4 linked regions of the Anolis sagrei genome follow. The protein of the gene in region 1 purifies or fractionates together with the protein of each later gene. This does not show direct contact. Links are inferred from orthologs where the notes say so. Each region holds a gene or a part of one and is shown in the gene's direction. Other genes may lie near its edges. The genes, in order: POLR3D, POLR3GL, POLR1D and POLR3B.

What was found.
Region 2: the proteins of POLR3D (region 1) and POLR3GL purify together in Homo sapiens (co-immunoprecipitation; 4 studies listed by BioGRID and IntAct, counting the BioPlex papers as one, with this or other methods). This does not show direct contact. The link is inferred for Anolis sagrei from reciprocal best matches to the Homo sapiens genes POLR3D and POLR3GL.
Region 3: the proteins of POLR3D (region 1) and POLR1D purify together in Homo sapiens (affinity purification with mass spectrometry; 6 studies listed by BioGRID and IntAct, counting the BioPlex papers as one, with this or other methods). This does not show direct contact. The link is inferred for Anolis sagrei from reciprocal best matches to the Homo sapiens genes POLR3D and POLR1D.
Region 4: the proteins of POLR3D (region 1) and POLR3B purify together in Homo sapiens (affinity purification with mass spectrometry; 8 studies listed by BioGRID and IntAct, counting the BioPlex papers as one, with this or other methods). This does not show direct contact. The link is inferred for Anolis sagrei from reciprocal best matches to the Homo sapiens genes POLR3D and POLR3B.

The regions. Positions count from the first base shown.
Region 1 is NC_090027.1:1,456,616-1,463,822, reverse strand, and holds the start of POLR3D (DNA-directed RNA polymerase III subunit RPC4), read left to right. Parts: upstream 1-4,207; 5' UTR 4,208-4,319; intron 4,320-4,364; exon of another isoform or gene 4,365-4,604; intron 4,605-7,207. UniProt on the Homo sapiens protein: DNA-dependent RNA polymerase catalyzes the transcription of DNA into RNA using the four ribonucleoside triphosphates as substrates.
Region 2 is NC_090032.1:21,351,622-21,359,081, reverse strand, and holds the start of POLR3GL (DNA-directed RNA polymerase III subunit RPC7-like), read left to right. Parts: upstream 1-4,445; 5' UTR 4,446-4,459; coding exon 4,460-4,651; intron 4,652-7,460. UniProt on the Homo sapiens protein: DNA-dependent RNA polymerase catalyzes the transcription of DNA into RNA using the four ribonucleoside triphosphates as substrates. Specific peripheric component of RNA polymerase III which synthesizes small RNAs, such as 5S rRNA and tRNAs.
Region 3 is NC_090023.1:31,194,170-31,201,060, forward strand, and holds the start of POLR1D (protein POLR1D), read left to right. Parts: upstream 1-3,889; 5' UTR 3,890-4,046; coding exon 4,047-4,072; intron 4,073-6,891.
Region 4 is NC_090025.1:169,715,428-169,723,202, reverse strand, and holds the start of POLR3B (DNA-directed RNA polymerase III subunit RPC2), read left to right. Parts: upstream 1-4,757; 5' UTR 4,758-4,838; coding exon 4,839-4,910; intron 4,911-7,775. UniProt on the Homo sapiens protein: Catalytic core component of RNA polymerase III (Pol III), a DNA-dependent RNA polymerase which synthesizes small non-coding RNAs using the four ribonucleoside triphosphates as substrates.

The DNA.
Region 1 (7,207 bases):
TTCTGCATGGCAGAAGGGGGGTTGGACTGGATGACCCTTGGTGTTGCTCCTATTATTATTAATATTAGAGATACATAACAAGATTAGTACACGGCGAACAAGATCACTGTGCTGGCTTTTGTATTTGATCCCACATCGAACACTTCCCAAGTTTCTAGGGCTGTGTGATGTATCGGTGAATAATGCATGCAGATCCCAGTAGGGTGGCCTTTTGCAGCTGGCAGATGGCAATTTTGTCAGCGCCGATTGTGTTTAAGTGTAGGCCAAGGTCTTGAGGCGCTGTGCCCAGTGTGCAGATCACCACTGGAACCACCTTGACTGGCTTGTGCTAGAGTTTTGCAGTTTGATCTTTAAATCCTCATATCGTGTCAGCTTTTCCAGCTGCTTCTCGTCAATCCAGCTGTCGCCTGGGATTATTATTATTAAGGTTGGAAGACCCCTGGGGTTGTTCCTATTAGTATTAGTATTATTTGCGTGGCTATCTTTTGGGGGTGCTTTGATTGTGCTTCTTCTGCATGGCAGAAGGCGGTTGGATTGGATGGTCCTTGGGGTTGCTCCTATTATTATTGTTGTTGTTATTGTTGTTGTTATTATTACACAGGCTGGGTGGCCATCTTTTGGGGGTGCTTTGATTGTGCTTCTTCTGCATGGCAGAAGGTGGTTGGACTGGATGGTCCCTGGGGTTGCTCCTATTATTGTTGTTGTTGTTATTGTTATTATTATTATTACACAGGCTGGATGGCCATCTTTTGGGGGTGCTTTGATTGTGCTTCTTTTGCATGGCAGAAGGCGGTTGGACTGGATGGTCCCTGGGGTTGCTCCTATTATTATTGTTGTTGTTGTTGTTATTGTTATTGTTATTATTACACAGGCTGGGTGGCCATCTTTTGGGGGTGCTTTGATTGTGCTTCTTCTGCATGGCAGAAGGTGGTTGTACTGGATGGTCCCTGGGGTTGCTCCTATTATTATTATTATTATTATTATTATTATTATTATTATGACACAGGCTGGGTGATCATGTTTTGGGGATACTTTGATGGTGCTTCTTTTGCATGGCAGAAGGTGGTTGGACTGGATAGTCCCTGGTGTTGCTCCTATTATTATTATTATTATTATTATTATTATTATTACACAGGCTGGGTGGCCATCTTTTGGGGGTGCTTTGATTGTGCTTCTTCTGCGTGGCAGAAGGGGGTTGGTCTGGATGACCCTTGGTGTTGCTCCTATTATTATTAATATTAGAGATACATAACAAGATTAGTACATGGCGAACAAGATCACTGTGCTGGCTTTTGTATTTGATCCCACGTCGAACACTTCCCAAGTTTCTAGGGCTGTGTGATGTATCGGTGAATAATGCATGCAGATCCCAGAAGGGTGGCCTTTTGCAGCTGGCAGATGGCAATTTTGTCAGCGTCGATTGTGTTTAAGTGTAGGCCAAGGTCTTGCGGCGCTGTGCCCAGTGTGCCGATCACCACTGGAACCACCTTGACTGGCTTGTGCTAGAGTTTTGCAGTTTGATCTTTAAATCCTCATATCGTGTCAGCTTTTCCAGCTGCTTCTCGTCAATCCAGCTGTCGCCTGGGATTATTATTATTAAGGTTGGAAGACCCCTGGGGTTGTTCCTATTAGTATTAGTATTATTTGCGTGGCTATCTTTTGGGGGTGCTTTGATTGTGCTTCTTCTGCATGGCAGAAGGCGGTTGGATTGGATGGTCCTTGGGGTTGCTCCTATTATTGTTGTTGTTGTTATTGTTGTTGTTATTATTACACAGGCTGGGTGGCCATCTTTTGGGGGTGCTTTGATTGTGCTTCTTCTGCATGGCAGAAGGGGGTTGGACTGGATGGTCCCTGGGGTTGCTCCTATTATTATTATTGTTGTTGTTGTTATTGTTATTATTACACAGGCTGGGTGGCCATCTTTTGGGGGTGCTTTGATTGTGCTTCTTCTGCATGGCAGAAGGGGGTTGTACTGGATGGTCCCTGGGGTTGCTCCTATTATTGTTGTTGTTGTTGTTGTTGTTGTTGTTGTTATTATTATTACACAGGCTGGGTGGCCATCTTTTGGGGGTGCTTTGATTGTGCTTCTTCTGCATGGCAGAAGGTGGTTGGACTGGATGGTCCCTGGGGTTGCTCCTATTATTATTATTATTATTATTATTATTGTTGTTGTTATTATTATTATTACACAGGCTGGGTGGCCATCTTTTGGGGGTGCTTAGATTGTGCTTCTTTTGCATGGCAGAGGGGGGTTGGACTGGATGGCCCTTGGGGGTCCCCTCCAACTCTTATGATTCTATGAAGTCTCCAAACTTTGGCCCTCCCTCCAGGTGTTTTGGACTCCGACTCCCACAATTCCTAACAGCCGGTAGGCTCTTAGGAATTGTGGGAGTTGGAGTCCAATACACCTGGAGGAGGGCCAAAGTTTGCCAATGCCTGATCTGCACTGTAGAATTAATGCCGTTTGAACCCACTTTAACTGCCAAGGCTCAGTGCTGCTATGGAGTTGTGGGAGTTATAGTTTGGTGAGGCTTCAGCATCTTGGGCAGAGAAGGCCCCAATAAATAATAATAATAATAATAATAATAATAATAATAATAATAATATTAAAAAGCCTTGTCAAATCCCATAGCATTGAGTTGTCTAATAGCATCAATGAAACTGGCGTCAACTCCATTCATTCAACAGTGTCTTCCTTTCTTGGGGTGGTTTGTTTGTTTGTCGTGTCAGAGCAAGCAGTCCATTACATTACATTTCTAACAGAACAAAGCAAACAGACATAATACAAAACTTGTGAGTTTGGTAGTTGGTTAAATGTCCTTTGACCAGTCTCTGTCCCCTTGGAGTGCCTCTGGTGTTGCCGCAAGAAGATCCTCCGTTGTGCATGTGGCAGGGCTCAGGGTGCATTGCAGCAGGTGGTCAGTGGTTTGCTCCTCTCCGCACTTGCATGTCGAGGATTCCACTTTGTGGCCCCATTTCTGAAGGTGGGCTCTGCATCTCGTGGTGCCAGAGCGCAGTCTGTTCAGCGCCTTCCATGTCACCCCGTCTTCTTCTGTGTGCCCAGGGGGGAGTCTCTCATTTGGTATCAGCCATTGGTTGAGGTTCTGGGTTTGAGCCTGCCACTTTTGGACTCTTGCTTGCTGTGGTATTCCAATGAGTGTCTCTGTAGATCTTAAAAAACTATTTCTAGATTTGTTGTTGACGTGCTGGCTGATACCCAAACAGGGGATGAACTGGAGATGTCTCTGCCTTGGTCCTTTCACTATTGGCTGCTCCTTCCCGGCGAATGTCAGGTGGTGCAATACCGGCTAAGCAGTGTAATTTCTCCCGTGGTGTAGGGCGCAGACACCCCATGATAATGCGGCATGTCTCATGAAGAACCACATCCACTGTTTGAGCGTGGTGAGATGTGTTCCACACTGGGCATGCGTACTCAGCAGCAGAGTAGCATCGCGCCAGGGCAGATGTCTTCACTGTGTCTGGTTGTGACCCCCAGGTTGTGCCAGTCAGCTTTCGTATGATATTGTTTCTAGCACCCACTTGTTGCTTGATGTTCAGGCAGTGCTTCTTGTAGGTCAGAGCACGGCCCAGAGTGACTCCCGGGTATTTGGGTGCGCTGCAAGGCTCCCGTGGGATTCCTTCCCAGGTAATCATCCTCAGAGCTCAGGATGTTTGCCCATGCCCGATTTGCACTGTAGAATTAATGCAGTTTGAGCCCACTTTAACTGCCAAGGCTCAGTGCTGCTATGGAGTTGTGGGAGTTATAGTTTGATGAAGCCTCAGCATCTTAGGCAGAGAAGGCCCAAGATAATAATAATAATAATAATAATAATAATAATAATATAAATAAAAAGAAATAATAATAATAATAATAATAATAATAATAATAATAAAGATTTGTCAAACCCCATAGCATTGAGTTGTGCCAATCAATGAAACTGGCATCAACTCCATTCATTCAACAGTGTCTTCCTTTCTTGGGGTGGTGAAAACAAACAAACCCGGAAACATTGCCTTAAACAAACATGGCGGATTCGCAGTTTCCTCCTTCAGAAACATGGGGGAGATGGCAAAGGGGCAGACCATGCCAGGTTTAAAAATGGCGGATAGCCTTAAACAAATATGGCGGATTCGCAGTTTCCTCCTTCGGAAACATGGGGGAGATGGCAAAGGGGCGGACCGTGCCAGGTTCAAAAATGGCGGAGGCCCTGCCGCGCATGCGCACTCCGCGATCTGCACCGTGGCTGTGTGCCGGAGAGAGAGACCTCGAGGGAAGCGGCGCCATTGGAAACGGAGAAAGAAGCCTCGCTCCGTCTCGGGTGGGTCCGGGGAGAAAGTGGGGCGTGCCTGCCTCTGTGGGGAGCGGGCCTAAAAGCCGTGGGAGCCTGGCTTTGCATTTCAGAGGCCTGGAGGCGGTGTGCGGCCTTGCGAGGTGTTTTGGACTTCATCTCCCAGAATTCCTATTCATTGGACGGAGTGGCTGAGGCTTCTGGGAGTTGGAGTCAAAGCGAAAAACATGGCGGCTCAGTGAGTATTTGATACTGGTGGGCCAGCAGAAGGCTGGAGAACATTATGAAGAGGCCCAGGGGCATTGTGTATGGCCAGTCATTAATATAACATAATATAATCTACTAGACGTCCCCTGCCACGCGTTGCTGTGGCCCACATGGGGGTTCATGTGTGGGAGGTTTGGCCCAATTCCATCGTTGGTGGGGTTCAGAATGCTCTGTGATTGTAGGTGAACTATAAATCCCAGCAAGTACAACTCCCAAATGTCAAGATTCTATTTTCCCCAAACTCCACCAGTGTTCACATTTGGGCATATTATTTATTATTTATTTATTTATTTCTTGCATTTATTGACCGCCACTCTCAGCCCTAGGGCGACTCGTGGCGGTGAACAATAACATGGAAAAGACAGTTTACAATAAATCAAACAGTACACAACAATCTACTACTACATAACATATACTTATACTAAAAATCCGCTTCGTCATATCATGGGGACATATCAGTTTCATAGTCGTGATCCATTCCGGTCATCATTTCCAATGAATAGCACTCAATTGAAAGCCCTCTCAAAGAGCCATGTTTTCAGGCTCCTACGGAAGGCCATAAGGGAGGGCGCCTGTCTAACTTCAGCAGGGAGAGCGTTCCACAGCCGGGGGGCCACCACCGAAAAGGCCCGCTCTCTCGTCCCCGCCAGACGTGCCTGTGAGGCAGGTGGGACCAAGAGAAGGGCCTCCCCGGATGATCTCAAGGTCCTCGTGGGCTCGTAGGCCGAGATGCGGTCTGCAAGGTATTTTGGGCCGGAACCGTTTAGGGCTTTGTAGGATAACACCAGCACCTTAAATTGGGCCCGGTAGCAAATCGGCAGCCAGTGGAGCTGGGACAGCAGGGGCGTTGTATGCTCCCTGCGCCCGGCTCCTGTTAGCAACATGGCTGCCGCGCGCTGGACTAGCTGGAGCTTCCGGGCCGTCTTCAAGGGCAGCCCCACGTAGAGAGCGTTGCAGTAGTCGAGGCGGGATGTGACCAAAGCGTGTACCACCGTGGCCAAGTCAGACTTCCCAAGATACGGGCGCAGCTGGCGCACAAGCCTAAGCTGTGCAAATGCTCCCCTGGTCACCGCTGAAACCTGGGGATCCAGGCTCAGCGACGAATCCAGGGTCACACCCAAGCTGCGAACCTGCGCCTTCAAGGGGAGTGCGACCCCGTCCAGCACAGGCTGTAACCCTATACCCTGCTCGGCCTTGCGACTGACCAGGAGTACCTCTGTCTTGTCTGGATTTAATTTCAGTTTGTTCGCCCTCATCCAGACCATTACAGCGGCCAGGCACCGGTTCAGGACTTCGACGGCCTCCTTAGTAGCAGGTGGAAAGGAGTGACAGAGTTGGACGTCATCTGCGTACAGATGACACCGCACCCCGAAACTCCGGATGATCTCACCCAGCGGCTTCATGTAGATGTTAAACAGCATGGGGGACAGGATGGAGCCCTGAGGAACCCCACAGGTCAACGGCTGTGGTGTTGAACAGGAGTCCCCCAATAACACCTTCTGGGTGCGACCCTCCAGAAATGACTGGAGCCACTGCAAAGCAGTGCCCCCAAGACCCATCTCTGCAAGGCGCCCCAGAAGAATACCGTGGTCGACGGTATCGAAGGCCGCTGAGAGGTCCAGGAGCACCAACAGGGACACACTCCCCCTGTCTAGCTCCCGGCGCAGATCATCCACTAAGGCGACCAAGACCGTCTCGGTACCATGTCCCGGTCTGAAACCAGACTGTGCCGGATCCAGATAATCCGTGTCTCTCAAGAATACCTGGAGTTGTGAGGCCACCACGCTTTCCATGACTTTGCCCAAGAAGGGAAGATTGGAAACAGGCCGAAAGTTGTCAAATTTAGTGGGATCCAATGATGGTTTCTTCAACAGCGGCTTTATAACAGCCTGTTTTAGGCTCGCTGGAATCTTGCCTTCCCGAAGGGAGGCATTAACCACCACCGTTACCCACTCGGCCAATCCCCCTCTGGCCTCCTTCAGAAGCCAGGATGGGCAGGGGTCTAGGATGGACGTGGTGGGTCTCATTCCTCCAAGTATCTTGTCCACATCCTCGGGCTTCACAAACTGAAAAGAATCCAACAAAATAGGACAAGCAGGTGCTTGTGTCACATCCACAGAGACTGCATTTAATGTGGCGTCCAGCCCAGAGCGGATCAAAGCGACTTTGTCTGCAAAGAACCGAGCAAATGCTTCACAGCGCGTGGCCGAATTGTCAGGGCTCCCACCTGAGGTAGGGGGAGTTAAAAGACCTCTGACAATCCGAAACAACTCCGCCGGACGGTTTTTTGCAGACGCAATAGTAGCCGCAAAGAAAGTTTTCTTTGCGGCCTTTATTGCCGCGGCATATGCCCTTAGAAAGGACACAAACCGTGTTCGATTTGGCTCGCTTGGGTCTGAGCGCCACACGCTCTCTAGTACCCTCTTCCTTCGCTTCATCGCTGCCAGCTCCTCAGTGAACCAAGGAGCTGGTTTAGCTCGGTTACTCGAGAGAGGACGTTCCGGAGCGATCCTGTCAATTGCCCTGGTCATCTCCCCATTCCAGAGAGCGACCAAGGCCTCGACATGGTCACCTACCGAGGTGGCGGGAAAATCCCCAAGAGCCGTCAGGAATCCATTCGGATCCATAAGCCTCCTGGGGCGGACCATCTT
Region 2 (7,460 bases), on another chromosome or scaffold:
ATTATTATTATTATTATTATTATTAAATGTGTATTATTTTCAGGTTTTTTTTTAAATGATACGAACTATTAAATAATAATATTTTATTATTTTATTAAATTATTTTTTTTACATCCAATTTAATGTTACTACTAATACACTTCCCAAGATGCAAGATTTGTGTGTGTGTGTGTATGTGTGTATGTCTATATATATTGCAAGATGAAGGGAATAAACCAGGCTTTGCAATGGGAGGAAACATCCCAAAATAATATCCCAATACTCAGTTCAGTAATAATAATAATAATAATAATAATAAGGCAGGTGTGTATGTGTGTGTGTGTGTGTGTGTGTGTGTGTGTATTGCAAGAAGAAGGGAATAAATCAGGCTTTGCAATGGGAGGAAACATCCCATAATAATATCCCAATATTCAGTTCAATAATAATAATAATAATAATAATAATAATAATAAGGCAAGTGTGTATGTGTGTGTGTATGTATATATATATATATATATATATATATATATATATATATTGCAAGAAGAAGGGAATAAATCAGGTTTTGCAATGGGAGGAAACATCCCATAATAATATCCCAATACTCAGTTCAATAATAATAATAATAATAATAATAATAATAATAATAAGGCAGATGTGTATGTGTGTATGTATTTGTGTGTGTGTATATATATATTGCAAGATAAAGGGAATAAATCAGGCTTTGCAATGGGAGGAAACATCCCATAATAATAATATCCCAATACTCAGAATAATAATAATAATAATAATAATAATAATAATAATAATAAGGCAGATGTGTGTGTGTGTGTGTGTGTGTGTGTTTGTGTGTGTGTATTGCAAGATGAAGGGAATAAATCAGGCTTTGCAATGGGAGGAAACATCCCATAATAATATCCCAATATTCAGTTCAATAATAATAATAATAATAATAATAATAATAAGGCAAGTGTGTATGTGTGTGTGTATGTATATATATATATATATATATATATATATATTGCAAGAAGAAGGGAATAAATCAGGTTTTGCAATGGGAGGAAACATCCCATAATAATATCCCAATACTCAGTTCAATAATAATAATAATAATAATAATAATAATAATAATAATAATAAGGCAGATGTGTATGTGTGTATGTATTTGTGTGTGTGTATATATATATTGCAAGATAAAGGGAATAAATCAGGCTTTGCAATGGGAGGAAACATCCCATAATAATAATATCCCAATACTCAGAATAATAATAATAATAATAATAATAATAATAATAATAATAAGGCAGATGTGTGTGTGTGTGTTTGTGTGTGTGTATTGCAAGATGAAGGGAATAAATCAGGCTTTGCAATGGGAGGAAACATCCCATAATAATATCCCAATACTCAGTTCAATAATAATAATAATAATTGGGAAGTGTCCGACGTGGGATCCAATTCAACAGCCAGCAGAGTGTCTGCTGTCGACTCATCTTGTTGTGTTTCAAATAATAATAATAATAAGGCAGATGTGTATGTGTGTGTATCTAAAGCCAGCACTTTGAATTGTGCCCAGTAACACACCAGCAGCCAGTGGAGCTTGTGCAACAGAGAGGTTGTGTGTTCCCTGAGTGCTGCTCCTGGTTGTAACCTGGTTGACGCCCGTTGGCCCATTTGGAGCTTCCGAACAGTCTTCAAAGGCAGCCCCATGTAGAGCGTGTTGCAGTAGTCTAAACGGGATGTAACCAGAGTGCGGACTACTGTGGCCAAGTCAGACTACCCAAGGTACGGTTGCAAGTTTTAATTGTGCGAATGCTCTCCCAGGCACTGCCGAAACTTGGGGTTCCAGGCTCAGCGATGAGTCCAGGATCACCCCCCCCCCCCAAGTCTGTCAGTGAAATCGGGCGCACAGGAAGGCAGGAACACGATCAATCACGGCCACCTTAGGCTATAAACTACTTTATTTTTACAGCTGTATACATTAGAAGCTACTTAACAGTCAGCACATCGTAAAACTTGCTTCTCACCATCCGATCGTAACATTGTGAGCACACGAACTGCTGTTATCAGTACTAGTCCACACCTCTTTTGCGAACACACGAACTGCTGTTATCAGTACTAGTCCACACCTCTAGCTTTCCATGACGCTGCGTCCATTTGCTCTATACACTTATGACCTCTCTAGGAATGCCCTGTTCGCCCTTGCAACTGACCAGGAGGACCTCTGTCTTGTCTGGATCCAGTTTCAACTTGTTCGCTCTTATCCAGACCGTCACAGCGGCCAAGCACCAGTTCAGGACCTGGACAGCCTCCTTAGTAGCAGGTGGGAAGGAGTGACAGAATTGGACATCATCCGCATACAGATGACACCACACCCCGAAACTCCAGATGATCTCCCCCAACTTCATGTAGATGTTAAACAACATGGGAGACAGTATTGAACCCTGAGGAACCCCACAAGACAATGGTTGTGGGGTTGAACAGGTGTCCCCCAATAACACCTTCTGAGATCGACCCTCGAGGAAGGACCGGAGCCACTGAAGAACAGTCCCTCCAAGACCCATCTCCTTGAGGCGTCCCAGAAGGATACCACGATTGACGGCCGCTGAGAGGTCCAGCAGAACCAACAGGGACACACTCCCCATGTATTATTATTATTATTATTATTATTATTATTATTATTATTATTATTTTCTACCAATTCCAACGGGTGTCACAGGCGAACTCTATTATTATTATTACTGTATTACCTTCTGGCAAGGAAACTAGTCCAATGTGAGCTAGGCAAAACTACGGTGAGGTGGATCAGTAATTGGTTAAGTGGACGAACACAGAGAGTGCTCACTAATGCTTCCTCTTCATCTTGGAAAGAAGTGACAAGTGGAGTGCCGCAGGGTTCCGTCCTGGGCCCGGTCCTGCTCAGGATCTTCATTCATGACTTAGATGAAGGGCTAGAAGGCAGGATCATCAAGTTTGTAGACGACACGAAATTGGGAGGGAGAGCCAATAGTCCAGAGGACAGGAGCAGGATTCAAAACGATCTTGACAGATTAGAGAGATGAATGGCCAAAACTAACAAAATGAAGTTCAACAGCGACAAATGCAAGATACTCCACTTTGGCAGAAAAAACGAAATGCAAAGATACAGAATGGGGGACAATGAGTCCTGGCTCGAGAGCAGTACGTGTGAAAAAGATCTTGGAGTCCTCGTGGACAACAAGTTAAACATGAGCCAGGAATGTGATGTGGCGGCAAAAAAAGCCAATGGGATTTTGGCCTGCATCAATAGGAGCATAGTGTCTAGATCTAAGGAAGTAATGCTACCCCTCTATTCTGCTTTGGTTAGACCACATCTGGAATATTGTGTCCAATTCTGGGCACCACAATTCAAGAGAGATATTGACAAGCTGGAATGTGTCCAGAGAAGAGCGACTAAAATGATCAAGGGTCTGGAGAACAAGCCCTATGAGGAGCGGCTTAAGGAGCTGGGCATGTTTAGCCTGAAGAAGAGAAGGCTGAGAGGAGAGATGATGAGAGCCATGTATAAATATGTGAGAGGAAGCCACAGGGAGGAGGGAGCAAGCTTGTTTTCTGCTTCCCTGGAGACTAGGACGCAATGGAACAATGGCTTCAAACTACAAGAGAGGAGATTCCATCTGAACATGAGGAAGAACTTCCTGACTGTGAGAGCCGTTCAGCAGTGGAACTCTCTGCCCCGGAGTGTGGTGGAGGCTCCTTCTTTGGAAGCTTTTAAGCAGAGGCTGGATGGCCATCTGTCAGGGGTGATTTGAATGCAATATTCCTGCTTCTTGGCAGAATGGGGTTGGACTGGATGGCCCAGGAGGTCTCTTCCAACTCTTTGATTCTAGGATTCTATGATTAATATATTCATTATTATTAGTATTTGGGGCAGATTTTTAACATTTTATATTCAATTATTTTGGTTTTAAATATATTGTAATTATTGCAATATATTAGTATTATTAATATATAATAATATATTATTATAATATATAATAATATGTAATAATAATTATTATATATTATTATGTATTATAATAATATATTATTATAATATATTATCATATATTATCAATAATATTATATATTATCAATAGTATATTATTATGATTTGGGATACATTATTATGATCTATTATTTTATTTATTTGGATATTATTTGTTAATATATAATAATAAATTATTATGATCTATTATTAAGTATTCTAATAATATAATATATAATAATATAATATATTATTAAGTATTCTAATAATATAATATATAATAATATAATATATTATTATATATTATTAATAATATATTATTATTAATATATTATTATGATTAGGGATAGATTATTATCTATTATTTTTATTTATTTGAACAGATATTATTTGTTTATTTATAGTATATCATTTAAAAATATAAATAGGAAACAAAGTGACTTATTACAAAGAGAAACCCAGGAATCAATTCTGCGCATGCGTGGAAAGAGGCCTCTTCCCACTGCTGGCAAAGGCAGGCCGAAGCCCCGCCCACTCTTCATTCACAAGAGAAAGCCCCGGCCACGCCCCTTCCCTGGATCTCCGCTCCCATTGGCCGCCTGGAAAGAAGTCCCCGCCCATTTCGAACGTTCCCCGGGCAAGCCTCTTCAGCCGCTCCTTCCGGGTCACGTGAGTTTTCTTTTGCTGCAAAGGAAAGCAAACCGACCTTATTTTTGCATTATTATTATTATTATTATTATTGTTAAATGCATGGGAAATAAATGTTGAATTAAATAATGAAGTCTTATTTTGCAATGTTTTCCTAAATATTAAGGAGTTAAATATTTAAATTAAAGGATAAATAATATTAAATAATAAATGATAAATAATATTAAATAATAAATGATAAATAATATTAAATAATATTATATATATTAGGTTCTTGTGGGTTTTTTTCGGGCTATAGGGCCATGTCCTAGAGGCATTTCTCCTGACGTTTCGCCTGCATCTATGGCAAGCATCCTCAGAGGTGTGAGGTCTGTTGGAATTAGGACAATGGGTTTATATATCTGTGGAATGGCTGGGGTGGGGCAAGGAGCTCTTCCTTGCTAGAGCTAGGTGTGACACCGTCTACAGAAAACCCACACACACAGATAGATATCTACATCAAAACTCCAACCATCACCCAAGTCAAAAAAGAAGCACCATGAAAGCCTTGGCAGACCGTGCAAAAAGAATCTGCGAAGCCCACCTCCTCCAAGATGGACTGAACCACCTCAACTGGGCTCTCCAGGCCAATGGAGACGCCACCTCAGACATCAGAAGAGCTGCAAGACCACTGAGAAGAAGCCACGAGAGTCAAGACCAAGATCCACCCAGAGGAAAAGTGTTCCTGCCAGACATCAAGGGAACCACTGACCGCAGAGGGAAGCTGATGAGGAAACACAACATACAAACAATCTACAAACCCACCAAGAAAATCCAACAAATGCTACGTTCAGCAAAGGACAAGAGGGATCCTCTCACCTCTGCAGGAGTCTACCATTGTATCCCATGCAGCTGTGGACAAGAAGTCTCCAGAGGGACCCCCAAACGCAGCATTGCCCAGACACGCATCAAGGAACATGGAAGGCACTGCAGACTCCTTCAACCAGAGAAGTCAGCCATAGCAGAGCACCTGATGAACCAGCCTGGACACAGCAGATTATTGGAGAACACAGAAATGCTGGACCACTCTCACAACCACCATGTCAGACTACACAGAGAAGCCATTGAAATCCACAAGCATGTGGACAATTTCAACAGAAAGGAAGAGACCATGAAAATGAACAAAATCTGGCTACCAGTATTAAAAAACTCTAAAATTATAACAGCTAAACAACAGAGAGGAAAAAAACCAGGCACAGATTAACACCTCCCACCAAGAGATTTTCCCAGGCTCAGGCAGGCCTTCAAATGCTAATGAAGGTGATCAGCTAAACATTCACACCTAACTGCAGCAGGGAAGAGCTCCTTGCCCCACCCCAGCCATTCCACAGATATATATAAACCCATTTTTCCTACTTCCAACAGACCTCACTACCTCTGAGGATGCTTGCCATAGATGCAGGCGAAACGTCAGGAGAAATGCCTCTAGAACATGGCCCTATAGCCCGAAAAAAACCCACAAGAACCTAGTGATTCCAGCCATGAAAGCCTTCGACAATACATTATATATATTATATATAAATTATATTATAAAATTATATTATTCAAATATTAAAAATGCATTCAATTAAATGCATTTGCAATTGATTTTAATGCATTCTGAAATATTTGAGTAATTAAATGTTAAATTAAATAATGAAGTTTTATTTTGCAATGTTTCCTAAGTATTAAGGAGTTAAATTATTAATAATATTTAGGAAACATTGCAAAAAATATTTAATTATTCATAATATTTAGGAAATATTGCAAAAAATATTTGATTATTCATAATATTTAGGAAATATTGCAAAAAATAAGATCGGTTTGATTTGAAAGCCTTCGACAACACATTGCAAAAAATATTTGATTATTCATAATATTTAGGTAACGTGAGTTTTCTTTTTGCTGCAAAGGAAATCAAACCGACCTTATTTTTGCAATATTATTATTATTAGTTTTAAATGCATGGAATTAAATGTTAAATTAAATAATGAAGTTCTATTTTGCAATGTTTCCTAAATATTAAGGAGTTAAATGTTTAAATTAAAGGGTAAATAATATTACTTTGCTATATTACTCAAATATTAAAAATGCATTCAATGAAATGCGTTTGCAATTTCTATTATATATTAGATATATTTATCATTACATTAGTATTACATTATTATATTATTTCTTCTATTACTTATATATTACATATTATTATATATTCTATATATTTATTATATTATTGTAAATATATTATTATATTACTTATTCTATTACCTATTATTATTATTATTATTATTATATAAATTAATGCAGTCTGAATTTAATTTAAATATGTAATTTCATTATTATTATTATTATTATTATGTATATAATATTTTCACAAACCCCGATGACATCCAGACATCATGTTATTATTATTATTATTATTATTATTATGTTTATAAGGCCCCCCGGTGGCACAGTGGGTTAAACTGCTGAGCTTCTGAGCTTGTTGACCGAAAGGTCACAGGTTCGATTCCGGGGAGCGCCGTGAGCTTCCCCTGTCAGCCCTAGCTCCTGCCAACCTAGCAGTTCGAAAACATGCAGATGTGAGTAGATCAATAGGTACTGCTCTGGCGGGAAGGTAACGGCGCTCCATGTGGTCATGCTGGCCACATGACCTTGGAGGTGTCTATGGACAACGCCGGCTCCTCGGCTTAGAAATGGAGATGAGCACTAACTCCTAGAGTCAGACATGACTGGACTTAATGTCAGGGGACTACCTTTACCTTTACCTTACTATGCTAATAATATAATATATTGTATGTATATATATTTTGTA
Region 3 (6,891 bases), on another chromosome or scaffold:
GAACTATACATCAAGGGAACCACTGACCGCATAGGGAACCTGGTGAGAAAACACAAACTATCTACAGACCTACTAAGAAAATCCAACAAGTGCTACATTCAACAAAGGACAAAAGGGATCCTCTCACCTCTGCAGGAATCTACCGTATACCATGCAGATGTGGACAAGTGTACATAGGGACCACGAAATGCAGTGCCCAAACACAAATCAAGGAACATGAAAGGCACTACAAGCTAATTCGACCTGAGAAGTCAGCCACAGCAGAGCACCTGATGATCTAACCTGGACATAGCATATTATTTGAGAACACAGAAATGTTGGACCCCTAGTTGTTCAATGACACAGAGAAGTCATTGAAATCCACGAGCATGTGGACAATTTCAACAGAAAGGAAGAAACCATGAAAATGAACAAAATATGGCTACCGGTATTAAAAAAAAACTCTAAAATTATAACAGTAAATAAAGAACAACACACAAACACAGGGGAACTCCAGACAAGAAACAATCAGGAATCACCTCTCAATAAAGGATTCCCCCCAGGCAATAACAAGTCACATCTAAAAAAAATCCTGTTAGGCCATCAAATGCCAATCAAGGTGGCCAATTGAAACATTCACACCTAGCTCCAACAGCCAGGGATTCTTTCTCCCACCCTGGACATTACAGATATATAAATTCAATTTTCCTAGTTTACAACAGACCTCACAACCTCTGAAGATGCCTGCCATAGATGCAGGCGAAACATCAGGAGAGAATGCTTCTAGAACATGGCCATACAGCCCGAAAAACCTACAACAACCCAGTGATTCCAGCCAATAAATCCTTTGACAACACACTGCCAACACACTTTGACAACACTTTGACAACACACTTGGGGCGGGGGAGGGGGCAGGGGACTTCCATCTTGTCTCCTGCATATGTCATCAGTTGGGGACCCCTTCCCCCAGCGCTGACTGCTGCTCGGGGTCAAAGTGAGGAGAGAGGGGGCCAGGGGACAGTTCCATCTTGTCTCCTGCATGTCATCATTTGGGGACCCCTCGCCCAAGCACCGGCTGCCACTCTGGGTCAAAGTGAGGAGGGGGGGGCAGAGGACAGTTCCACCTTGTCTCCTCCTGCATATTCATCAGTTGGGGACCCCTCCCCCCAGCTCCAACTGCCGCTCTGGGCCAGAGTGAAGAGAGAGGGAGCCAGGGGACAGTTCCACCTTGTCTCCTGTGCTATGCTAATAATATAATATAATGTAATGTAATATATTGTATATACATATATTTATAATATTATAATGAACTGCAATATAATACTAATAATATAATTATATATTTATATTACATGTAATATTACTAATTATATTACAATATATTATAGCATAGTACAATATAGTAATATATAATACTGACATTGTACTATGCTAATAATATATTGTATGTATATATATCTTGTAAGCTGCTCTGCAGCCCCTTTGGGGTGAGAAGGGCGGCATATAAATAAAGTTTAAATAAATAAATCTTTTGTGAATCTGCCCTGAGTCCCCCCGGGGATAAAGACTGGAATATAAATAAAGTTTTTTATTATTGTTGTTATTGATATTATTGTTATTAAATTAAAAATTAAAATGTCCAAATCACAAATAGGAATGGTGGGACTCAGTTCTTGTGGGTTTTTTCGGGCTATATGGCCATGTTGTAGAGGCATTTCTCCTGACGTTTCGCCTGCATCTATGGCAAGCATCCTCAGAGGTGAGGTCTGCTGGAACTGGGAAAAAAGGGGGTTTATATATCTGTGGAATGATCAGGGTGAGACAAAGGGCTTTTGTAAGTTGGGCTAGGTGTGAATCTTTCAACTGACCACCTGATTAGCATACAATGGGCTGACTGTGCCTGGAGCAAACTCTTCTTGAAAGGTGATTAGATGTCCCTGCCTGTTTTTCTCTCTGCTGTTTTTGCTGTTGCAATTTTAGAATTTTTTAATACTGGTAGCCAGATTTTGTTCATTTTCATGGTTTCTTCCTTTCTGTTGAAATTGTCCACATGTTTGTGGATTTCAATGGCTTCTCTGTGTGGTCTGACATGGTGGTTGTGAGAGTGGTCCAGCATTTTTGTGTTCTCAAAATGCTGTGTCCAGGTTGGTTCATCAGGTGCTCTGCTATGGCTGATTTCTCTGGTTGGAGTAGTCTGCAGTGCCTTTCATGTTCCTGGATTCTTGTTTGGGCGCTGCGTTTGGTGGTCCCTATGTAGACTTGTCCACAGCTGTATGTTGTGTTTCCTCATCAGCTTCCCTATGCGGTCAGTGGTTCCCTTGATGTATGGCAGGAACACTTTTCCTCTGGGTGGATCTTCATCTTTACTCTCGTGGCTTGTTCTTGGTCTTGCAGCTCTTCTGATGTCTGAGGCGGAGTATCCATTGGCCTGGAGAGCCCAGTTGAGGTGGTTCAGTTCATCTTGGAGGAGGTGGGGTTCACAGATTCTTTTTGCACGGTCTGCCAAGGCTTTAATGGTGCTTCTTTTTTGACTTGGGTGATGGTTGGAGTTTTTATGTAGATATCTATCTGTGTGTCTGGGTTTTCTGTAAACGGTGTGACCCAATTGTTGATCTGGTTTACGGATGACTAGGATATCTAGAAAAGGCAGTCTTCCTTCGTTTTCTTTTTCCATAGTGAACTGGATGTTCGGGTGGATGCTGTTAAGATGTTGGGAGTTGGAGGAATGGTGGGAGTTGAAGTTCAAAAACACCTGGAGGGCTCAAGTTTGCCCAGGCCTGGTATATAGGAATTTTAATTATGTTGAAACCTGCCTTCAAGAGGTGAGGCAGGCAACACATAAATAATAATAATGACGATAATAATAATAATAATAATAATGCGTTGTTGTTGTTGTCACTCTCCCAGTGGAGATGACTCTATGACTCTAAGACGACACCAAATTGGGAGGGATAGCCAATAGTCCAGAGGACAGGAGCAGAATTCAAAACGATCTTGACAGATTAGAGAGATGGGCCAAAACTAACAAAATGAAGTTCAACAGTGACAAATGCAAGATACTCCACTTTGGCAGAAAAAATGAAATGCAAAGATACAGAATGGGTGACACCTGGCTCGAGAGCAGTACGTGTGAAAAAGATCTTGGAGTCCTCGTGGAGAACAAGTTAAACATGAGCCAACAATGTGATGTGGCGGCAAAAAAAGCCAATGGGATTTTGGCCTGCATCAATAGGAGCATAGTGTCTAGATCTAGGGAAGTAATGCTACCCCTCTATTCTGCTTTGGTTAGACCACATCTGGAATATTGTGTCCAATTCTGGGCACCACAATTCAAGAGAGATATTGACAAGCTGGAATGTGTCCAGAGGAGGGCGACTAAAATGATCAAGGGTCTGGAGAACAAGCCCTATGAGGAGCGGCTTAGGGAACTGGGCATGTTTAGCCTGAAGAAGAGAAGGCTGAGAGGAGATATGATAGCCATGTATAAATATGTGAGAGGAAGCCACAGGGAGGAGGGAGCAAGCTTGTTTTCTGCTTCCTTGGAGACTAGGACGCAATGGAACAATGGCTTCAAACTACAAGAGAGGAGATTCCATCTGAACATTAGGAAGAACTTCCTGACTGTGAGAGCCCTTCAGCAGTGGAACTCTCTGCCCGGAAGTGTGGTGGAGGCTCCTTCTTTGGAAGGTTTTAAGCAGAGGCTGGATGGCCATTTGTCAGGGGTGATTTGAATGCAATATTCCTGCTTCTTGGCAGGGGGTTGGACTGGATGGCCCATGAGGTCTCTTCCAACTCTGTGATTCTATGATTCAGGCTTGTGGGCCCAGACAGGAACTTCAGGCGCAGGCAGCGCTGGGGGCGGGGCTTCTTCTGCCAAGAGGCCCCGCCCCTTTCCGGGGTCCTCGCGAGCGGCTGTTTGGCCTCGTCGCGAGCTCCGCCTCCCATTGGCTGCTGCGTCGCAGGAAGCAGCGAGAAAGAGAGCCATGATGGCGGCGGCCTGAGAGAGCGAGCGAGCGAGCGAGCGAGAGTGAGAGTGAACGGAGACCCCTCAGCCCGCAACCGCCGCCATGGCGGAAGACGCAGAGCTGGAGAGGTGGGTGAGGCCTGCGCGGAGGAAGGGGCAGGCCTGGCGGTTGCTGCTCCCTTGGCAGCCGAGGGATTTGGCCTTGACTGGGAACGCCAAGAAGGTCCTACTAGAGGCTTCCCAGCGGCCTTTAGTCGCCCGATCTTTAGGGCCTCGGTATCTTAAAGGGACCGCACCCCATTATTATGACTATTGCAGTATATTTATCCCATCAGGTCTTGGAAGCTAAGCAGGGTCTGACCACTTGCGAATGGTAGGTGCTGTTTCAGGAGGAAGGGATTCACACAACTATGAAGGTGTATCTAGAATGAGTGCGGTTTGACATCTCTTTAACTGCCAGGGAATCATAGGGGTTATAGTTTGCTGAGGTCCTAAGACAGTGGTTCTCAACCTGGGGGTCGGGACCCTGGAGGGGTCACTAAAGATCACCAGAAAACACAGTATTTTCTGTTGGTCATGGTGGTTCTATGTGGGAAGTTTGGCCCAATTCTGTCATTGGTGGGCTTCAGAATGCTCTTTGATTGCAGGTGAACTATAAATCCCAGCAACTACAACTCCCAAGATATCAAGGTCTATTTTCCCCAAATTCCACCAGTATTCACATCTGAGCATCTTGAGTATTCGTGCCAAGTTTAGTCCAGATCCCTCATTGTTTGAGTCCACAGTGCTCTCTGGATGTAGGCAAACTACAACTCCAAAACTCAAGTCAATGCCCACCAAAATCCTTCCAGTATTTTCTGTTGGTCACGGGAATTCTGTGTGCCAAGTTTGGATCAATTCCATCATTGGTGGAGTTCAGAATGCTCTTTGATTGTAGGTGAACTATAAATCCCAGCACCTACAACTCCCAAATGTCAAGGTCTATTTTCTCCGAAGTCCACAAGTGTTCACATTTAGGCATACTGAGTATTCTTGCCAAGTTTAGTCCAGATCCATCATTGTTTGAGTCCACAGTGCTCTCTGGATGTAGACGAACTACAACTCCAAAACTCAAGGTCAATGCCCACCAAACCCTTCCAGTATTTTCTGTTGGTCATGGGAGTTCTGTGTGCCAAGTAGAGTTCAGAATGCTCTTTTATTGCAAGTGAACTATAAATCCCAGCAACTACATCTCCCAAATGACAAAATCAACCGCCCAACCCCACCAGTTTTCAAATATGGGCGTATCGGGTATTTGTGCCAAATTTGGTCCAGTGAATGAAAATACACCCTGTGTATCAGATATTTACATGACGATTCATAACAGCAGCAAAATGACAGTTATGAAGTAGGAAGGAAAATAATTTTATGGTTGGGAGTCACCACCACATGAGGAACTGTATTAAGGGGTCGCGGCATGAGGAAGGTTGAGAACCACTGTCCTAAGAACTCTTTGGCAAAGAAGACCATGCAAAACCACAATAATAATAATAATAATAATATGATGATGATGATGATGATGATGTTGCAATCCCAGGTGACAGGATTGAAGAGAAACAACTGGAATAGCAGAAACTATATGAGGATTTAAAGATCGAACTGCAAAGACTCTTGCACAAGCCAGTAAAGGTGGTCCCAGTAGTGATCGGCACACTGGGTGCAGTGCCTAAAGACCTTATAATAATAATAATAATAATAATAACAATAACAATAACAATAATAACAATAATAAACTGGGGACTCGGGGCGGGTTACATGAGGCCAAGCCCAACAACATATTACAATAAAGTAAAACCAAAATACAATAATAACACAGTAAAATACATACAACATATGAGTTCAAAGACAATAAAGCAAAATCATACACCGTAAAATAAAATAACATAACAATGAGTGGGCCGCATGTGCAAGATAAAAACTTGATACTAAAAATACTAAAATCAGGATGAGATAGGGATAGAGTAGATTGTTCGTGGGGGAGAAACTTGTAAAGGAACAGGGTCATAAATATAGACCTTCATTCAGGTGTGGAAATATACTCTGGGGACAAAAACCATTGAGGGGAAGCAACTGTGTATGATAATATGGCTACTCTCCAAAAGCGCATTGGAAAAACCAGGTTTTGAGATCCTCCTTGAAAATTTCCTAATCTCACCGGGCAATGAGTTCCAGAGTCAGGGGGCCACAGAGGAGAAGGCTCTCGCCTTTGTACTTACAAGATGAGCCTGAGATAATTGCCTGGCCTGCGCTTAAATACTATTGGCGCTGACAAAATTACCATCTGCCAGCTGCAGAAGGCCACCTTACTGGGATCTGCACGCATTGTTCGCTGATACATCACACAGTCCTAGACACTTGGGAAGTGTCCGACATGTGATCCAATACAACAGCCGACAGAGTGATCTTGTTGTGTTTCAAATAATAATAATAATAATAATAATAATAATAATAATATAATGAACTTTATTTATACCCTGCCACCATCTCCCCAAAGGGGACTCAGGGTGGCTAACAAGTGGCCAAGCCCAAGAATTACAATCAAGCAAAATAAAATACAAACAAGCAAATAATAACAACAAAATAAAATGCAAAACAATAACAAAATATGCAATAAAACAATGCAAAATAAAATGGTAGAAAAATTAGCGCACAGTGGACGGGCCAAATTCAAAGGGTAAAATTTATAAAACCCTGGGTGAGATGGATAAATGGAGTAATGTGTCTGAAGGGAGACTCAGAAGGGGTGATCGCATTGAGCCATGGCAGTGTCAAACTGCATTAACTCAGTAGTGAAGATGATGATGATGATTATATATCTTTATTTTTGTCCTGCTTTTCTCCCTAATGGGACCCAAAGTAGCTCACAGCGTAGGTAAAGGTTTCCCCCTGACATTAAATCTAGTCATGTC
Region 4 (7,775 bases), on another chromosome or scaffold:
GCTATTGTGTTATTTTATTTAAAAGGAAACTATGAATTGTCTAAAATGTTTTGGTTCTTGATATGGATGGGTGATGTTATAAATATCTATGAGAAACTTAACTGTAATGATTTTGTTGTGGGGTTGTGTGTGTGTATGTATTCCTTTGATTTTTAAAAAACACTATGAATGCAGGGAGATGAAGTGCAGTAAAAAAATACTTTCCAACAGTTTCTTATTACCTGAGAAGCTATGAGATGGATAGACACCTTAACTTTTTTTTTTAAAAAAAAGAGTACTACTCACAGAATCTCACAGGTGTTTTGGGCATGGTGGCAAAGGAATTATTGGCATTTTGGTCCAAAGAAGTAACTTTTCTTAGCTTTGGTTGAATTCAAGCAAAGTTGTCATAGTTGGGTCCTACTGATTTCAACAGTGATAAATTTCAAACAACTTAGTCTGAATTCAGTATGTTTTGGAAAACTTTCAGGAAGAATATTATGAGGAAGCAATAATTTTGTGATTTTATCTATGACTTGAAAAGGGCATTTTATATAGCATGGTATGTCCATTTAGCAATCTGTACATGTCCTCTAATGTTCATAATCTTTTCAATGTTCAGATTAATCAGTACAATTAATTTGTCCCTCTTGCATGTTGCGTGGTGAAATTATCCAAATATGTTTAACTCCATTCCCTTCGCCCTAGCCCTACCAGGGCTCAATGAAAGCAAGGTATTGTTATGTAACTGGCTTATTTTTGTGTTGATATCTGTATTAATTAAATTCCGTTTGACTTTTAAAGTATTTATTTATTTATTTGAAATCTTTATATTTCACCCTTCTCACCCCAAAGGGGACTCAGGGAAGTTCACAACGTATACACGGCAAGCATTCCATGCTGGAACATAAAATAACTATAAATATACACAAACACTACAAACAGTTATATCTACTTTAAAATCAGTTGCTTAAAAACCATCTCAGAACACCATGATGGCTCCAGTTAGTGGAGTGGGTTTCCTATTATTGCCCTATTGCACTGTCCCAAAGGCTTGTGAAACAGGCTGGAGAACAGCTGAAGCATTTTTTGCAGAGTCCACTGTAAACACTGTAGGTTGTTGCTAACAGATTCATGTAAATGGGTGGTATTGTTGCCAAATTTTTGTGACCCCAATATTGAGCAAAGGGGACCCTATATGTTTAAGAAGCAGTGCTCTAGAAGACCCCAAATTATGGTACCTTTTCTGTTTGAACCACCACTTAAAACTACTGCATGCTCTCTACATTTGCAGTTCTGGCTTCTTCATATTTGATTATTCAGAAATGTGATTAAAAGTGTTATTTGTAGGAAGATTTAGGTGCTCCAGTGTGACTTTAATGAATTTCCTCCATTCATGCTGGAGCAAGGGTCCAAAAAAGAAGTGGTTGTCCTCATTTCTCCTAAGATCTTGTCCATGTCCTCGGGCCAAACAAGCTGAAAAGAATCCATTAAACAAGGACAAGCAGATGCCTCATTCATATTCACGGAGACTGCATTAATACTGGTGTGTAAGTCAGAGCGGATCAGAGTGACTTTATCTGCAAAGAACCTAGCAAACTCTTAACAACAAACTGCCGATTGGTCCGGAAAGAGTTTAGAAGCCCCCTTACCATTCGAAACAGTTCTATTGGGCAAGTCTTTGTGGATGTAATGTTGGTGGCAATAAATGATTTTTCTGCCACCTTAATTGCTCTTAAATAAGCTCTAGACTCACTGCGCATGGTACGCTGCTGTAGTTTCCACTTCACTTGCAAGCCCCAACAAATGTGGGGAGCTGGTTATATTTCCTCCAAACAGGTCCAGCTTTTTTGGCACAGAAATTCAGCAATGGGAAGTGATTCACCTGTCAAATTAATTTTTCATCCCACTCTCAGTTAATTAGGAAAAAAGCAAAAAGCAGTTGCCTGCAATCATAACTAACTAAAAATCCAAAAAAATGCACAGTCACAAATGAAATCTGAGAGTCAGATTTCCCTCAAAACTGGGGAAAATATACAGGCTATTATTCCAATAAGTAATTCTGCAAATTGTTGGTAAGTGGTGTTACTGTATTATTATAATTTCCCATTTTTATCTGAGACAACATTAATAACAATATTAATAATAATGTTATTTCTTACCCGCCTCTCCTTGAGGCTAGAGGCAGGTTAAAGGTAAAGGTGTTCCCCTGACATTAAGTCTAGTTGTGTCCAACTGGGGATTGGTGCTCATCTCCATTTCTAAGCCGAAGAGCCGATGTTGTCCGTAGATACCTCCAAGGTCATGTGGCCGGCATGACTGCATTGAGCACTATTGAGGCTAACAGCAGGAGCTCATGTCCGACTCTGGGGATTGGTGCTCGAGCTGGTGTTGTCCATAGACACCTCCAATGTCATGTGGCCAGCATGACTGTATGGAGCGCCGTTAGGGCTAATAGCAGGAGCTCATGCCGCTTCCCGGATTTGAATCTGTGACCTTTTCATCAGCAAGTTCAGCAGCTCACTGTGCCACCAGGGGCTCCTAGAGGCAGGTTACAGCATAGTTAAAACACAAAAACATTGTAAACATTCTGTATATGCACATAATAAAATATATTTCTATAAAATACATATTAAAATGCACAGAACAGAGATTAAACACAAGACACGAGTTTTAAATACTTTATTATTGTTATTATATTGAGAAGACTCAAAGCGGCTTTACATAAACTACAACAAACAAAAACTACAACATACAAATATTAAAATAGAATTGAAGCAGAAAATTAAAATCCCTTAAAATAATTAAAAATTATTACAATACTTTGAACTACACATAACTGCACTGATATTCCCCAATCCAAATAATTCCAAGAACATTTCTATCCTCTGTTGCAATAATTTCTGCTTTGGGTTACTGTAAGTTTTCTGGGCTGTATGACCATGTTCCAGAAGTATTCTCTCCTGACGCTTCACCACATCTATGGCAGGCATCCTCACAGGTTGTGAGGTCTGTTGGAAACTAGGCAAGTAGGATTTATGTCTGTGACATGTCCAGGGTGGGAGAAAGAACTCTCGTCTGCTTGAGGCAAGTGGGAATGTTGCAATTACTCACCGGAGCGTCATACAGGGAGCATACCACCCCCCTGCTGTTTCAGCTCCACTGGCTGCCAATCCAGTTCCGAGCACAATTCAAAGTGCTGGTTTTGACCTACAAAACCCTTTATGGCTCCGGCCCAGCGTACCTGTCCGAACATATCTCCTTCTACGTCCCACCTCGGAGGTTAAGATCTTCTGGGGAGGCCCTGCTCTCGGCCCCACCTTTATCACAAGTGAGACTGGTGGGGATGAGGGACAGGGCCTTCTCGGTGGTGGCCCCTCGCCTGTGGAATGCACTCCCTGGGGAGATTAGGTCATCAACATTCCTCTTCTCCTTCAGAAGGAAGTTAAAAACCTGGATGTGGGACCAGGCCTTTGGGTAAGCTGGCAGTTGGACAAAATACAATGACGACCAAAGTAGGAAAGGACAATGACGATGCTAGACGGATCATGAATTTATGAATTGGCGAACATTGACCGCAAGATGATTTTATTGCTGCAACTGTATTGTTTTTTATTGTTTTAATTAGTTATAATTGTTGACGTTATATTGTAATTTTGTATATTGTATTTTGTGAGTTGTTGGGCATCGAATTGTGCCTTTTGTAAGCCGCCCTGAGTCCCCCCCTAGGGGGTTGAGAAGGGCGGGGTAGAAGCACCCCAAATAAATAAATAAATAAATAAATAAAATTAGTCACCTTGATTAGCACTGAATGGCCTTGCAGCTTCAAAACCTGGTTGCTTCCTGCCTGGGGTGAATCCTTTGTTGGGAGGCCCTGACTGTTTCTTGTCTGGAATTTCTGCTTTCTTCAAAATACTGTCAAGAAAGAAGCCCTCAGGTAGAGCAGAAGGAAACCATTCGGATAGGAAATTCTTTTAACAATATAGTTAGCTGTAAATAAGAGTTTTGGAAGCTTCAGTTAGTCCAACGTGCGGCAGCCATGATTCTAACCGGAGTGGAGCGCAGGGAGCACACAACCCCCCTGTTGCGCCAGCTCCATTGGCTGCCGATTTGCTACCGGGCTCAATTCAAGGTGTTGGCATTGGCCTATAAAGCCCTAAACGGTTCTGGCCCAAGATACCTTTCCGACCGCATCTCGGCCTATGAACCCACCAGGACTTTGAGATCTTCCGGGGAGGCCCTGCTCTCGATCCCGCCGGCTTCTCAAGCACGGTTGGCAGGGACGAGAGATAGGGCCTTCTCGGTGGTGGCTCCTCGGCTGTGGAACGTCCTTCCTACAGGCATTAGGCTGGCGCCATCTCTCATGGCATTCCGAAGAAAGTTGAAGACCTGGATGTTTGTGCAGGCGTTTGAGTAATTTAGTGCAATCTGGTAATGGAACATAGGAATGGAACAATGGACGACGAACCTGGACTACGCTTGGATGATGAGAAGATTGGGTACGGTTGTTTTTTGTAATAATTGTGCATTGTAATTGCTTATTGGTAATTTATGGATAATGTGTTAAGTCAATTGTTATATGTTGTATGGAACCACTGCTGTTTCTACTGTTTTTACTGTTTGTGAACCGCTGTGAGTCGCCTTCGGACTTGAGATACAGCGGTATATAAGCAAAGTAAATAAATAAATAAATAAATAAATAAATAAAGGCTTCTAGGAAACGTGGCGGAACCTTTTTGGACGTCCTCAGTTGCACTTCCGGTCAGGTTTCAGCGACGCACACGCATAGCTCTGTGGAAGGCGGGGACTACGCATGCGCCAACTTTCTGGCTGTTGCCGGTTGTTTTTCTCTCTCCAGCATGGACGATCTGGTGGCAGAGCTGGGAGCCTCCACTCCGGAGCAGCTGGCGGCTCCTGTAAACACGGTGGAGGTGAGTGAGAATGGCGAGAGCATCCGAAGGAAAGAAAGAAGCGGCTCTGCCCAAGGGATAGGGGTAAATGTGGCTTCCGAAGTCCACGGTGCGCATGCGCTAAGCGTCAAGGCATGCCTGGCTGCTCACTCAGCCCTAGAGTGCGCATGCGCAGTAGTAGAGCCACAACAACCTCTGGTGCTCCTTTCCTGGATGCAGCCATGCTTGAGAAATAACGCAGCTTGACACCACTTTAACTGATCATTGGATTTGTAGTTTGGTGAGGCACCAGCCCTCTTTGTCAGAAGAAATACCGTGTACAAGAAAACGTTTGTGTTTCCATAGCATGGAGACATAACAGTTAAAGTAGTGTCAAACTGCATTATAGAATCATAGAATCAAAGAGTTGGAAGAGACCTCATGGGCCATCCAGTCCAACCCCCTGCCAAGAAGCAGGAATATTGCATTCAAATCACCCCTGACAGATGGCCATCCAGCCTCTGTTTAAAAGCTTCCAAAGAAGGAGCCTCCACTACACTCCGGGGCAGAGAGTTCCACTGCTGAACGGCTCTCACTGTCAGGAAGTTCTTCCTCATGTTCAGATGGAATCTCCTCTCTTGTAGTTTGAAGCCATTGTTCCGCGTCCTAGTCTCCAGGGAAGCAGAAAACAAGCTTGCTCCCTCCTCCCTTAGTTCTACAGTATAGATGCACCACATGGCCCCTTGTCCTTTTTCGAGGAAGCCAATAGAGCAGGCATGGGAAAACTTGAGCCCTCCAGGTGTTTTGGACTTCAACTTCCAGCCTCAGGGCCCTTCATTAAGTGGCTGAAGGGGGAAATAATAATAATAAACCTTTATTTGTACCCCGCTACTATCTCCCGCAGGACTCGGTGCGGCTTACAAGAGGCCGAGCCCAAAGTACATCATTAACAAAAACACAACAGACAACAATGCAATGCAACAATAAATAAGCAAGCAATAAAACAATAACAAAAGCACAGCACTGTTAAAAACCTGTGGCAGGGCCAAATGTAATAGTTAAAATTCTAAAAATTCGGGCCTGTCCAGGTGAGGTAGAATGGATATTTTGGGAATAGAAGGGTGTGCAGACAATTCTAACTCTCTCATAAAGTGCATTAGGGACAATTGCTTGGGATTCCTTAATCTGGGAAAGCACACTGGAACATCCATGTTTTCAAGCTCTTTCTGAAGACTACCAGTGTTGGGGAGTGACTGATGTCCTTGGGGAGGGAATTCCAGATTCGTGGGGTCACCACCGAGAAGGCCCTGTCCCTCGTCCCCACCAATCGCGCTTGTGATGCTGGTGGGATCGTGAGCAGGGCCTCACCAGATGAACGAAGGGATCGTGTGGGTTCGTATACGGAAATGCGGTCACGCAGGTAGGTGGAAAGGAAAGGGCCGAGGCTGTTAGGAATTGTTGGAGTTGAAGTCCAAAACACCAGGAGGGCCCAAGTTTGCCCAGGCCTGCAATAGAGGTATTTTTATTTCCCAATAAATCAACTACACAGTGCAACTCAATATGTATATACTCAGGAGTAAATCCCACTGAGGGCCTAATCACACTAGAGAAAAAAAATCTACTTAAAATCCGTTTCCTGTAGAATTCTGGGGTTTGTAGTTTAGGGAGGGGCCTTTAACAGCCTCACTACAAACTCCAGAATTCTGCAGGAGGCAGAATTTTAAGTGGATTTTTTCTCTAACGTGATGAAGTCATAAGTTAAGTGTGACTTGTTCCTCAGATAAATGGTTCTAAGAATATAGCCACACTGCACAATTATAGCACTTTGATAGTATTTTTAACTGATATGAATGCTGTAGATTTCTGGGATTTGTGAGGTTTTTCGCTTTCTCTGCCTGAGAGCTCTGATGCCACAGTGCACATTCCAGAATTATATGTGCCACTAATTGTGGTTCTCAACCTGGGGTCCCCAGATGTTTTTGGCCTACAACTCCCAGAAATCCCAGCTAGTTTACCAGCTGTTAGGATTTCTGGGAGTTGTAGGTCAAAAACATCTGGGGACCCCAGGTTGAGAACCACTGCATGGCTTTGGGGAAAACTCAGTTCTGCTTATGGAGCCAGTACATTCAGTTAGTTTTAGTGATTGTGAATATTTCTTCAGCAAGGTAGCTGAAGGGAAACCTCGTTAGATTGCTTGAGTAAAAAGAATCTAACAGAGGGGGTTTTAGGATCGCCAGTAGTGGAAGACTGGGGATTCAGTGGTTTGATCCGGTATAGGACAAACAGTGTGAATGTTCACAATTAGGAACACTGAAATAATAAAGCACTTCACTGTAGAAGGAGTTTATAAGAATTGTAACATCTAAAGCCTGAATGTATCACAGCCAAGCCATATTGTAACCAACAAGCATGTGCCAAGTTCAACATCTCAATATTACAACAATTACGCTTTGTTAATAATAAACTTGTTCTCTTTGTTATTTTAAACCTGCCTCCTCCATTGATTTTATGTTCGGTGTATTCCACTCTACCAAAGTTACCTCACAACGCAAATAGGAGTAAATAGAGACTTTAAGACCAGCGTCTTTACATTTTATTGGTGGCAGTTTAATTTAATAGCAGTCTAGGGACTTCCTTATATTTTTGGTAATCCCATTTGGTGGGATAAAGACTTCTTCACATAATTTTGGAGACAAGCGGTGGCATTAACGCTTCCTCACATAAATATTATTAGCAATTTCAACCCATCATTATAATTCAGGCTTTTTGTTTGGGTTAAAATAGTTGCTGATTAAGTTTATTCTTATATTCCAAATAATTCTAATAATAATAACTTTATTCTTATATCCCATGCCATCTCCCCAAAGGGGCTTGGGGCGGCTTACAGATGACACAAAGTACTTAAAA